2 linked regions of the Drosophila melanogaster genome follow. The protein of the gene in region 1 purifies or fractionates together with the protein of each later gene. This does not show direct contact. Each region holds a gene or a part of one and is shown in the gene's direction. Other genes may lie near its edges.

Region 1 (6,103 bases):
GCTACAGTCTTGGTGGCTCTAGCGCTATAGAACACATAGATCTTAGTGACACTGATGTTCCCGATTCCGCTAAACTTCGTCAAATTCGACTTCAGCGTTTTAGCGAAGATGCTTCCAACAAGCGACAGAATAAGAAAAAGAGGCGTCGTGTTTCCAGCGACAGCGAGATAATCAACTGGGAGTCCTACGATGATGACGTAATGGTCAGGGATGTTCATACGCCCATCGTCAACTTGGTCGAAAGCTCTAGTGATGAAGAGGAGATGAAGATGCCAGCTGGCAGAAAAACCATGACCAGTCAGGAGCGCACGCAGATCATCAAGCGCCAGGTAATGGAGGATGAGTTGACCTTGTGTGAGGACGATATCCTCTTAATTGATGATGAATACGACGATGAGGTGGCCGCAAATGAATCTTTAACAGCCGCCACGGAGCTAGCTGACCAATCCATTATAGATGATATTTTTGGAGAGGACACCCTGCTGAAGGAGTTCCAGCGTGAGAACGACGTGCAGCCCAGTTGCTCAAGCTACGCCAAAAGAATTGAGAACGACATCGTATCTTGTCCCATTTGCTTTGAGAAAATGAGGCGCACTGAGTTGTCCAATCACTTCGATGGCTGCGCCATTATGGTGCGCTTGGAACCGCCATCGTTTAAGCCTAAAAACCGCCGAACAACTGCTTCCTTAACCTCAAAGGACTCGTCGGGAGCTTCCACATCACGCCGCGCTAAATCGAAAGCAAAGTCATCAAAAGGAATTCTTCGCAGCTCCGGTTACACAGAAGGGGAGATCGACAAGCTCAACCTGAGCTCCTCTACCGACTCGTCTACTCTGCCGTCTAGCGAGGACGAACTTACTCCGCGTCAGCGCCGCCAGCGCAACCTCTTCAAAGAGACCGTAGGCTGCCCCAGATGTGGCCTGGAGATCATGCCTCTACACCTGAAGGTCCATGGATCCGTCTGCGCTGGTCGCAAGAAGCGCTAGGACAAAAAACATCTCATACAAAACATAATTCGTTAAATAGAAACTAATGTTAACTTTAATGTTATTAAAAACATGTTACAGGATTCGCCCAAAATATCGCACATTCTTTTTATCCAAATAGCGCGTGGCCAACGCCGGCCAGTGGACCACAAAGAGGTCCGCCAGCGGAAGGAGCAGGCGTCCGCTCAGCGACAGCGTCTCCACGCGGCAGAAGCTCTCCACGAACACTATTCTGGAGTGCGAGGGCAGGCGTCCGAGGAGGCGCCACAGATAGGCGGCATAGCAGAAGGGCACACAGGTGCCGGGTCCATTGCAGAGGATCAGTTGGGGGCGATCACGCCAGACCAGATAGCAGCTCCAGAGAAGCGCCCACAGGCTGGTGAAGATGCTGCTTAGCCAGGATTGGCCCACGTCGCGGCTGCGCGGCACCTTCACGAATTCCGCCCTCTGGGCAGCCTGCGGCAGGACCTGCCTGAACTGGCGCTCGGAGGTAGAGTCACTGTTGGCCAGGATCAGTCTAATTGGCTGGTACTTCTCCGTCTGTTCGATGTCTGTCTGTTGCAGCAGCGCCTGGGTCAGCCGGCACATCTCCGCCGTGTGGCCGCCAGAGCCCAGTATTACGTAGGTGGGGTGAGGCGAGCTGGTCGTCATATTGCCCTTCGAAAACTCAATTTAAATGACAACATTTACAATTGTTTACGTTTCAAGTCGATTGTCGATCATCCACGAACAGCTGTTTCCATTGCTATCGATAACTGAACCGATAATTATGCCGGTGTACCATTTACGTTGTTGTCATTGCTGAGGGCGCCATTTATAGAATTTATTGGATCTCAATCAGAAAGCGGAGCGAAATGGCTCCTCCCGCCCAGAAGGGTAACCTACGGAAGCGCTCCGGCAAGACCTCGACGGCAGTCAACTCCGCCATAAACGAGAACGTGCGAAAACTGGTCAGGAGCCTGTCGGAACCGGGGGTATGTTTTAAAACAGATGTTATCCCTATTCCAATTTAACCAACTTAAAACGCAGACGAGCCAGAAAAAGTTGCGCCAGATGGAGGATACGGCATTGAAGATAATCGCCAACCAACGCAGGACATGGGCTCCTACAACGACGGACATGGAGGTGAAACGCAACCTGGACGATCTGGCAGAGCGTTTTCGGGCGGAGGGCATGGCGTCTTTTGGTGAGAGCATCAAGGACTTGGCCATCAGGTATTTGGCTATGGACGAAAATCAACAGCAATTCAATCCTAACCCCGGATGGCAAATGCTCGAATTGCTGTTTCGCATAGCCGATAGGCCGGTGCAAAAGATCCGGCTGAACCGCGAGTTCATGGAACAGCGCCGTCTGTCCATAATTAATAGCATGGAGGAAGCCGAGCGACAGGCACAGATAGAGGAACAGGCGAAACTGGAGGCAGCCAAGAATACCTCCGAAACGGAGGTGGACTGGGCAGCGCTGCTGTCCGAGGATTTTCTGGATCCGCCAGAGGATGACAGCTCGGACAGCTTAAGTGTGAGCATCTAGAGAACCCCAAACATATGTCATCTGCTACACATATGTAGCCTGTTCTTTCCATAAAATCATTTGCAGCATACTAATACCTTTACCTTCTTTCCAAAAGGACTGGTCGGAGGAGTCGGACTGCGACTCGACAACTACTCTGAAGCCCGATGAAAATATTGGCGTCTCGCGAAGCCTCTTGGAAATGGCCAGGGTGTACGAGCAGGCCATGATGGCAGTCGTTCCGACTGGAAGTGTTAACAAAACGTATATGCCGCCCGAGCAGAGCGTGATCCGGAGTTACGACTTTCGGATAATGAAACCAACTGTTCTAAGCCTCAACAACTTAAAGGGCAGCCATCTGAGACGAAGCAAGCTGCTCCAGTTGCCGCCACCCCAACCGCCCCGACCATTCACCCAATATTGGCAAAGTGGCAACACAGATACGCTCTTCCGTAAAATCCATTCCCACTGGTGGTGCCAAGATGTCCATTTAAACGCCCTGCCCTCCAGTGCTAAGCCACTGGACAACTTTGCCGTCAGCTACGTGCAGTTTCTGAATCACAATGCCCGAGGCTTGTTGGCCCTGCCAGTGCCGAAAACCATCACGGAGCCCTGTCTGCTAAGGGAGATCCTCTTCATGTTTGTGCGTCCAGCGAGCTGTTGTTTCTTTGAATTCGACAAGGCCACGCGACGCATTACTGTGCGTGACAATGTCAGTATTTGTACGGTGACTGCGGTAAGAAAGTCGAATCGTTAATGTGTAACTCTATCTTTAGTCCGGCTTTTTTTTTTGTAGAGCACAATGCAAAATTTTCTGTTATTTGATGTGGTGCCTGCGCTGGAGGACATGATGGAACTGCGTCACATCATCGATACTCATACGTTGCATTTTCATGGCGTAAAGACAACATACACCGTGGAGTTCTTTGCATACGGCCTGAGAGATCTTGTCCAGCCCATTTGCCAGCTCCTCATCGCTTACGAGGATCGTGTCAATAAGGATCCAGCGAAAAATACACTGATCCGTTTTACGATTGAGTTCAGGGAACATTTTAGCCAGCTGCGCTTACTGCGAGAGCTGGCCGAAGATGTCATCCTGGATAAGGGACCTGCGCACATACGCAGTGCCTACTTGCTATCCAGACTGTATAAGCACACCTTGCTGCAGGTGCCGCACCAGAAGCTGGCCACTGCCCTGCTGTTTATATCTCTCAAGCGATATTGTATCATCATCGACGGCTGGTGGCGCAGGGCCGCGCTGGAAGATCACCTTCGCGAGTTCATCGTGGAGTTTTGGTAAGCCAAAATGGTGCTCACACATCACTCTGGCCAGCTGAAGTCATAACTACATTGTTTTTAATAGTTACGAGGAAGATGCGAACACACGTAGCCACGTGCGCAAACGAAATATGGGAATGGAGGATGATTTGCTACTCGTGGAGATCTTCAACAAGCTGCAATCCTGCCCACTCTACCAGCTACTGCTGGAGCATGCCTTGGAGTCTGGCGAAACGCAAGATTTGCTATGTAGTGTAAATACGCTGAGCGAAATGCTGACCAGCAACAATGAAATCCAACTGCCGTCGCTGCACGATGAGCTGTTCACGCAGTTCTTTGCGCAGCTAAAGGTTTACTGTGGTGCGGACAACACGGATTACGAGGATGAGCCGGAGCCGGACAAAGACTACGAAGATCTGACTGTGTGCAATAGGCAGGGCATTAGGAACCATGAACTTTTCGCCATATTTACCCAGCCGTTGGTGGAACAACGTTTGGAGCGACAACGTGAGCGGCTTAAAAGCAACCCCGTTCTAATGGCCAACATTTTGAAGCGCTTGGAGCGCTCCACATGTCTGCAGCTGAAGTCTGAGTTGCCGGAGGCACTGCGCGAAATACTGCGAAGGAGACAGTGGCTGGCGAACGAGTACGCGATTCGAGCGTACTGCAAGGAAACGCAGGTGGCCGAGAAGATGCGATTCCTGCGGCATACGATGCTGCTGGAGAAATACTACCTATTTGTGCCATACTACAACGCACTCTTCGTGCGCATGGAGAAAAACAATAGCTGGGCACTGGGTTCGGTGCTCACTTCTAAGCTATGCGCTGTGCTCCTTCCGCATTATCCGCAATTGGCTCATTATCTTCATGTCAAGTTAATATCCCAGATAAACTCGAATTCAATCAAGGTCTATGAGGCCCTGGAGGCTATTGAACTGGACTTCGAGCGGCCAATGGCCATGCACCAGTGGTACATTCTCACACCCGCGCACATGCAAGACTACAATTCGGTGTGGCGTCTGATGCTGAAGGTGAAGTGGGCCGTCTGGAAGCTGGAGAATATGCAGTTTTTGCGTCGCGCTAGGTTCAATCCCTGCGCACCACTGGATTTGATCGGTCTGACCATTCGTCGCCTGGAGATTGTGCGCTTCTGGTTAATTTTCCTCATCAACAACCTGCACGCGCACATTATGGAGGCCGTGAGCCGGCAGTTCGAGCTCAGGATTGGCGAGTGCAAGAATGTCCGCGAGTTGCGTATCATGCACGACGAGCACCTGGCGTGGCTGAAGACACACTGTATGCTGACCGACGAATTTAAGGCATTCCGCGTCGCCCTCGACCAGATCTTTCATCTGGTCTACGTGCTGGACATGGAGTGGACCACCTGCGCCAGCTGCATGCACGACCACGATGCCCTATGCTTGGACGTCACCATTTCGGATGACGGCATTGATGACAGCGAAACGCAACGTCGTAGCTTGGAGTACCTGGCGCTCAACCAGGTGGCGGAGATCGAGTTAACGTACATACGTTGCCACCAGATGCTGGCCGACATCCTTAACACGCTGGTGCACCAGAACGATCACGGATTCCGTAAGTGATTGTTGGTCCCGAAATTTGGACATTTGAACTTACTCTTTTTCACTTCGTCTTGCAGTGTCTGCCTTGGAGGAGACCATCAACTCCAGTGTGCCCCATTAGAATCGAATCTCCTCCACAAAGGATCTTGTTAAACATTACGCATTACCATCACCTGCACCACTACCTATAATCCCGACCAAACATTCCCATACCAACTGAATTAAAAGCAGCTTATCTTTGTTGACAAAACCTCACTCGAACTCCTCATCGCTGTCGCCGAAGGGCTCGACGATCGGTGGTGGCGGCGGCAGGGTGGTCACCTCGTGCAGCGTGGGTCGCCGGATGTACGGCTGGCAGGTGAGCTCGCACATGCGGGCGCTGGCGAAGACCGTGCGATGTGGGTAGCAATTACCGTTGACGTGCTCGCAGCGCCGGTAGGCGGATTGGCGATTGAAGACGTACAGATCGGCGCATGGCGAGCAGTTGGCCTGGCCTATCAGTCGCGTCTGCAGGCACTGGAAGCGGCGATCGCTGGCGCTGATGCCCATGGACACCTGGCGTATGGCCATGGCCAGGGCGATGGCCACCAGACAGCAGCAATGCACTCCTTGCCGTCGCATAGTCCGTTGATCTCTGCCGCCTCGCCGCTCTATTCGTTTCGCTTCGCCCGTTTAGCTGGTTTCTCATGGTTGGCGTGGCGCTAATGTGTTCCGCCTTCCTTCAATCTTCAATCTGCAGCACCTCAATGT
Region 2 (4,120 bases), on another chromosome or scaffold:
GGCTTCTTCTTCAACTACACCGTTTTCCTTATCGGCGGATTTCTTCTGCTTCTTCCCGGGTGCTGGCTCCTTGCCTTCCTTCTTAGCGCGCTGTTTAGTGGGCTTTGCCTTGGTCTTTGGCTCAAGTTCTACCGCAGTCTCACCATTGGTTGTTTTCTTGGCGCGTTTCTTGGGTGCAGCTGCAGTTTTTGGAGGCGATTCCACTTCTTCTTGTACTGATTGAAAATCTCCTACAGTCTCGGGCGATGGCTCAACCATCTTTCCCTTCTTTGCTCGCTTGCTAGCAGCCTTTGGCGGCACCTCATCCACTTCCGGCTCATCGAGAGCAGCTGCGATCTCAGAATCTGCCAAACGCTTGGTTCCGCGTGCCCGCTTGGCAGCTGTCTCAGCTTTCTGCACCTTCTCTTTGCTTATTGTCCCTGGTTCAGCTTGCTCCTTTAACGTTGGTACTGCTTCCTTTCTTGCCCGTTGTTTCGGCGGCTCTGCTGCTTCCTCGGCCCCTCCATTTGCTTCTGCCGGCAGCTCCTTTCGCTTCCGTCCTTTGGCCTGGGCATTCGTTGGTTTCTCAGCCTTAGCGCGTCCCTTAGGCGGTGAAGACGTCACTTCGTCAGGAGCAGGAGTGGGCTCTTTTTTGGCACGTGGCTTAGTTGCCTTTCCAGCTGGTAGATCGACTTTGGGTTCTGGTTCTGCTTCTGCAGTTGCCTTCTTGGCGCGTCCCTTCGGCTTGGCCACCACCTCCATCTGGCCGTTTTCGTCTGTATCCTTCGGCTGCTTCTTCTTGCCACGCGCGGCTGCAGTGGGCGCCTTTTGTGGCTCGACTTCCTCGGAGTTTTCCGCAGATACAGCCGTCTTGGTGGCTTTCCTCGCGCGCGGCTTTCCTTTTGCCGGCACCTTGAGTTCCTCAGCGGCAGAGTCTGCGTTTTCGTCGACTCCATTCCCATTGGCATTTGGAGTGGGGTCAGTGGGTTCAGATGCCAACGCCTCTGCTTGTTTTTTCACGGCCTTGACACGCGGCATTATGGAGTTCTACTGCTCGGACTGATAGGTTCTCAAAAATGACTTGTATTTACTTCCACAGATTTCCAGCTTTTTCTTTTGCTTGTTTTGCAGAGCCACTGTCGCTTGGTTCAGCACCCGATATCAACAAAAAGAAAACTGCGCGGGCAACGCGATTTTTGCAAGCCGGTCGGCTTGACTTTGGTCTGCTTACAACACTATTTGTGTGCCTTCCTTGGAAAAACACGACTGTGGAGCAAATATTGCACATTGTGACGTCACTAGTAGTACAAATAGTTCGACGTCATTAGTAGTACAAAATGGGTGGAGCTCAATAACCTAATTGAAAAACTTTCTTATAGAAAATTATATTCAAGTTAAGCTTAGTATTGAACTATTAGATTGATATTCATGACATGTTTCGATCTTTCTAACTCATAGTCTTAGATTTCCAACACTTTTTTGCCTTTCCAAAATACAAAGTAGAAAAATGTAATGTTTATTTTTATTTATTTAATTCACAATAAAGGTCTTAAGTAATCATATATATTTTATAACAGAGGGCACACTGCGCCACCTTTCAAATGAGGACGCCATTAAACGCTGCGGTGTTATCAACACTGGACTTTCTTAAAATTACAAAGTACGTCCCCGCTGTGGGATTTTTTAAAAATTTTGTTATAATTCGACGATCTTTTAGTTGTGTTTTATTTTATTTCGACTAATTCGACCTTAAACGCGAAACTTCACTTGACGATTCTGGCCGGAAACAACACACCACAATGCCAAGTGAAATAATTACTTTGCAGCTTGGGCAGTGCGGCAATCAAAGTAGGTTTCTGAAATCAGGACGAGTACCATCTGCATTGCTAAAATCGTTTAAACGCAGTTGGCTTTGAGTTCTGGAAAAGATTGTGCCTGGAGCATGGCATCTCCCCTAGCGGCGTGCTGGAGGACTTTGCCAATGATGGCTTGGACCGCAAGGATGTGTTCTTCTACCAGGCGGACGACGACCACTACATACCCCGCGCGGTGCTCTTGGACTTGGAACCGAGGGTGATCAATACCATAATGGGCTCGGTCTACTCCAAGGTGAGTCCTCTCTAAATAACTTTTAATTTTTTGCGCCAAACCTACTATTAACTCCCGTAGCTCTACAATCCGGAAAATGTGTACCTATCCAAGCACGGAGGCGGTGCGGGCAACAACTGGGCCTCAGGCTATAGCCAGGGCGAAAAGCTGCAAGAAGAGGTATTCGACATCATTGACCGTGAGGCAGATGGAAGCGATTCGTTGGAGGGCTTTATACTTTGCCATTCGATTGCTGGCGGAACGGGATCGGGAATGGGCTCCTTTATCATGGAGCGCCTGGCGGACCGCTATCCCAAGAAACTTATCCAAACATTCAGTGTGTTTCCCAATCAGGACGAGATCAGTGATGTAGTGGTGCAGCCATACAACTCCATGCTCACCCTGAAACGTTTGACTACGGCTGCGGACAGTGTGGTTGTCCTGGACAACACTGCTCTTAATCGTATTGCCTGCGATCGCTTGCACATTCAGAATCCCAGCTTTTCGCAGATCAACAACCTGGTCTCCACCATAATGAGCGTCAGCACCACTACGCTGAGGTATCCATCCTACATGAACAACAATCTCATTGGGCTGACGGCTCCTTTAATCCCGACGCCCCAGCTGCATTTTCTCATGACAGGCTACACGCCGCTGACTAGCGATTCGGATATCCATACCCAGCAGCTGGTTAATGTGCGAAAGACTACTGTTCTAGATGTAATGCGGCGTCTGTTGCAGCCCAAGAACATGATGGTGTCCACTGGTCCCGACAAGTCAAATCATCACTGCTACATCTCCATTCTAAACATTATCCAGGGCGAGGTGGATCCCACTCAAGTGCACAAGTCACTGCAGCGCATCCGCGACCGCAAGATGGCCCAGTTCATTCCCTGGGGCCCCACCTCTATCCAGGTAGCCCTTTCCCGCTCATCGCCCTACGTGCAGAGCAACCATCGAGTGTCCGGACTGATGCTGGCCAACCACACCAGCATTTGCTCGCTTTTCGAGCGAGCTCTCAACCAGTATGACAAGCTTCGCAAGCGCGGCGCCTTTCTTGACCAGTTTCGACGCGAGGACATCTTCAAGGACGACCTCAATGAGCTGGACGAATCTCGCGAAACTGTTGACTGCCTGGTGCAAGAGTATGAGGCAGCCACGCGTGAGGACTACATGCAGTTTTCAGTGAAGCGGGGAAATGGGCCAGTTGACTCCAAGTCGGAGGATAGTCGATCTGTGACCAGCGCCGGTTCCTAGTTCGCTTGTGCCAGAAGAAATGCGTGCCATGCATCTTAACCAATGTATTTTAAAATGTAATATTCTCCAATGACGATGGGATTCGAAATCCTTAAGTAGTAGTGATAAGACGATTGTTGGTATGACTCGCATGTATGTAAACGCTGTTTCGTCTTTTACGATATTTAACGTTCGTATTTCCATTGTTGCAAAATTACACATGAGATTTCCCGATCATGTTTAATATGTGACACATTAAATAAAAAACAGTTTTTAAATGTGGTAGTGAGTGTTTATTGAGAAGTATATTACATATTTCTTTGGTGTATTTTATAATATGAAATCCTTATGGTTAATGTCGACTTGAGGCAGTATGAACTGATATTGCAGTGAGAATTCACTTGTGAAGCTGCACGATACTGCTGTCCTTGTTCCGTTGTCATGTCATTTCGTATGTCAAATATGTTTAGGGTGTGTTATTCAGTTTAAAATGTTCCTATTGTATTGAAGAAGAAAAGAGTTAGATATATAAAGCACATTTTATAAATCAAGGAAGTTTTTCGTTACCATGAATCCCGTTACCCATCGGCTTGCTTACAAGGAGCATGTGTCTTCATTAACCACCTCAGCGTTGCAATTCTCTTCCTCCTGATGAGGCTCTTCGCACTCCTCGCCCTCCGCTTCAGGAGTGACCTCTACATCATTGCTCTTCTCGCCCGGCTCCTCTTCAATGAACTCCACATCATCGTGTTGCTCTTCAGCTGCCTCTTCCACCTCATCATGATCTTCAGTCATCTCATTCTCATTTTCATCATCA

Evidence for each region. The genes of interacting proteins can lie anywhere in the genome.
Region 2: the proteins of Grip128 (region 1) and gammaTub23C purify together in Drosophila melanogaster (affinity purification with western blotting; 3 studies listed by BioGRID, with this or other methods). This does not show direct contact.

The regions. Positions count from the first base shown.
Region 1 is NC_004354.4:15,467,777-15,473,879, reverse strand, and holds Grip128 (Grip128), read left to right. Parts: upstream 1-1,760; 5' UTR 1,761-1,840; coding exon 1,841-1,960; intron 1,961-2,015; coding exon 2,016-2,504; intron 2,505-2,613; coding exon 2,614-3,231; intron 3,232-3,291; coding exon 3,292-3,791; intron 3,792-3,858; coding exon 3,859-5,366; intron 5,367-5,430; coding exon 5,431-5,474; 3' UTR 5,475-5,599; downstream 5,600-6,103. Other genes in the region: mh (maternal haploid), read left to right, coding at 1-986; Alg14 (ALG14, UDP-N-acetylglucosaminyltransferase subunit), read right to left, coding at 1,062-1,637; CG15641 (uncharacterized protein), read right to left, coding at 5,606-5,974.
Region 2 is NT_033779.5:2,971,281-2,975,400, forward strand, and holds gammaTub23C (gamma-Tubulin at 23C), read left to right. Parts: upstream 1-1,610; 5' UTR 1,611-1,778; coding exon 1,779-1,827; intron 1,828-1,885; coding exon 1,886-2,088; intron 2,089-2,148; coding exon 2,149-3,324; 3' UTR 3,325-3,578; downstream 3,579-4,120. Other genes in the region: Rrp1 (recombination repair protein 1), read right to left, coding at 1-1,017; CG9641 (uncharacterized protein), read right to left, coding at 3,898-4,120. UniProt on the Drosophila melanogaster protein: Tubulin is the major constituent of microtubules. The gamma chain is found at microtubule organizing centers (MTOC) such as the spindle poles or the centrosome, suggesting that it is involved in the minus-end nucleation of microtubule assembly.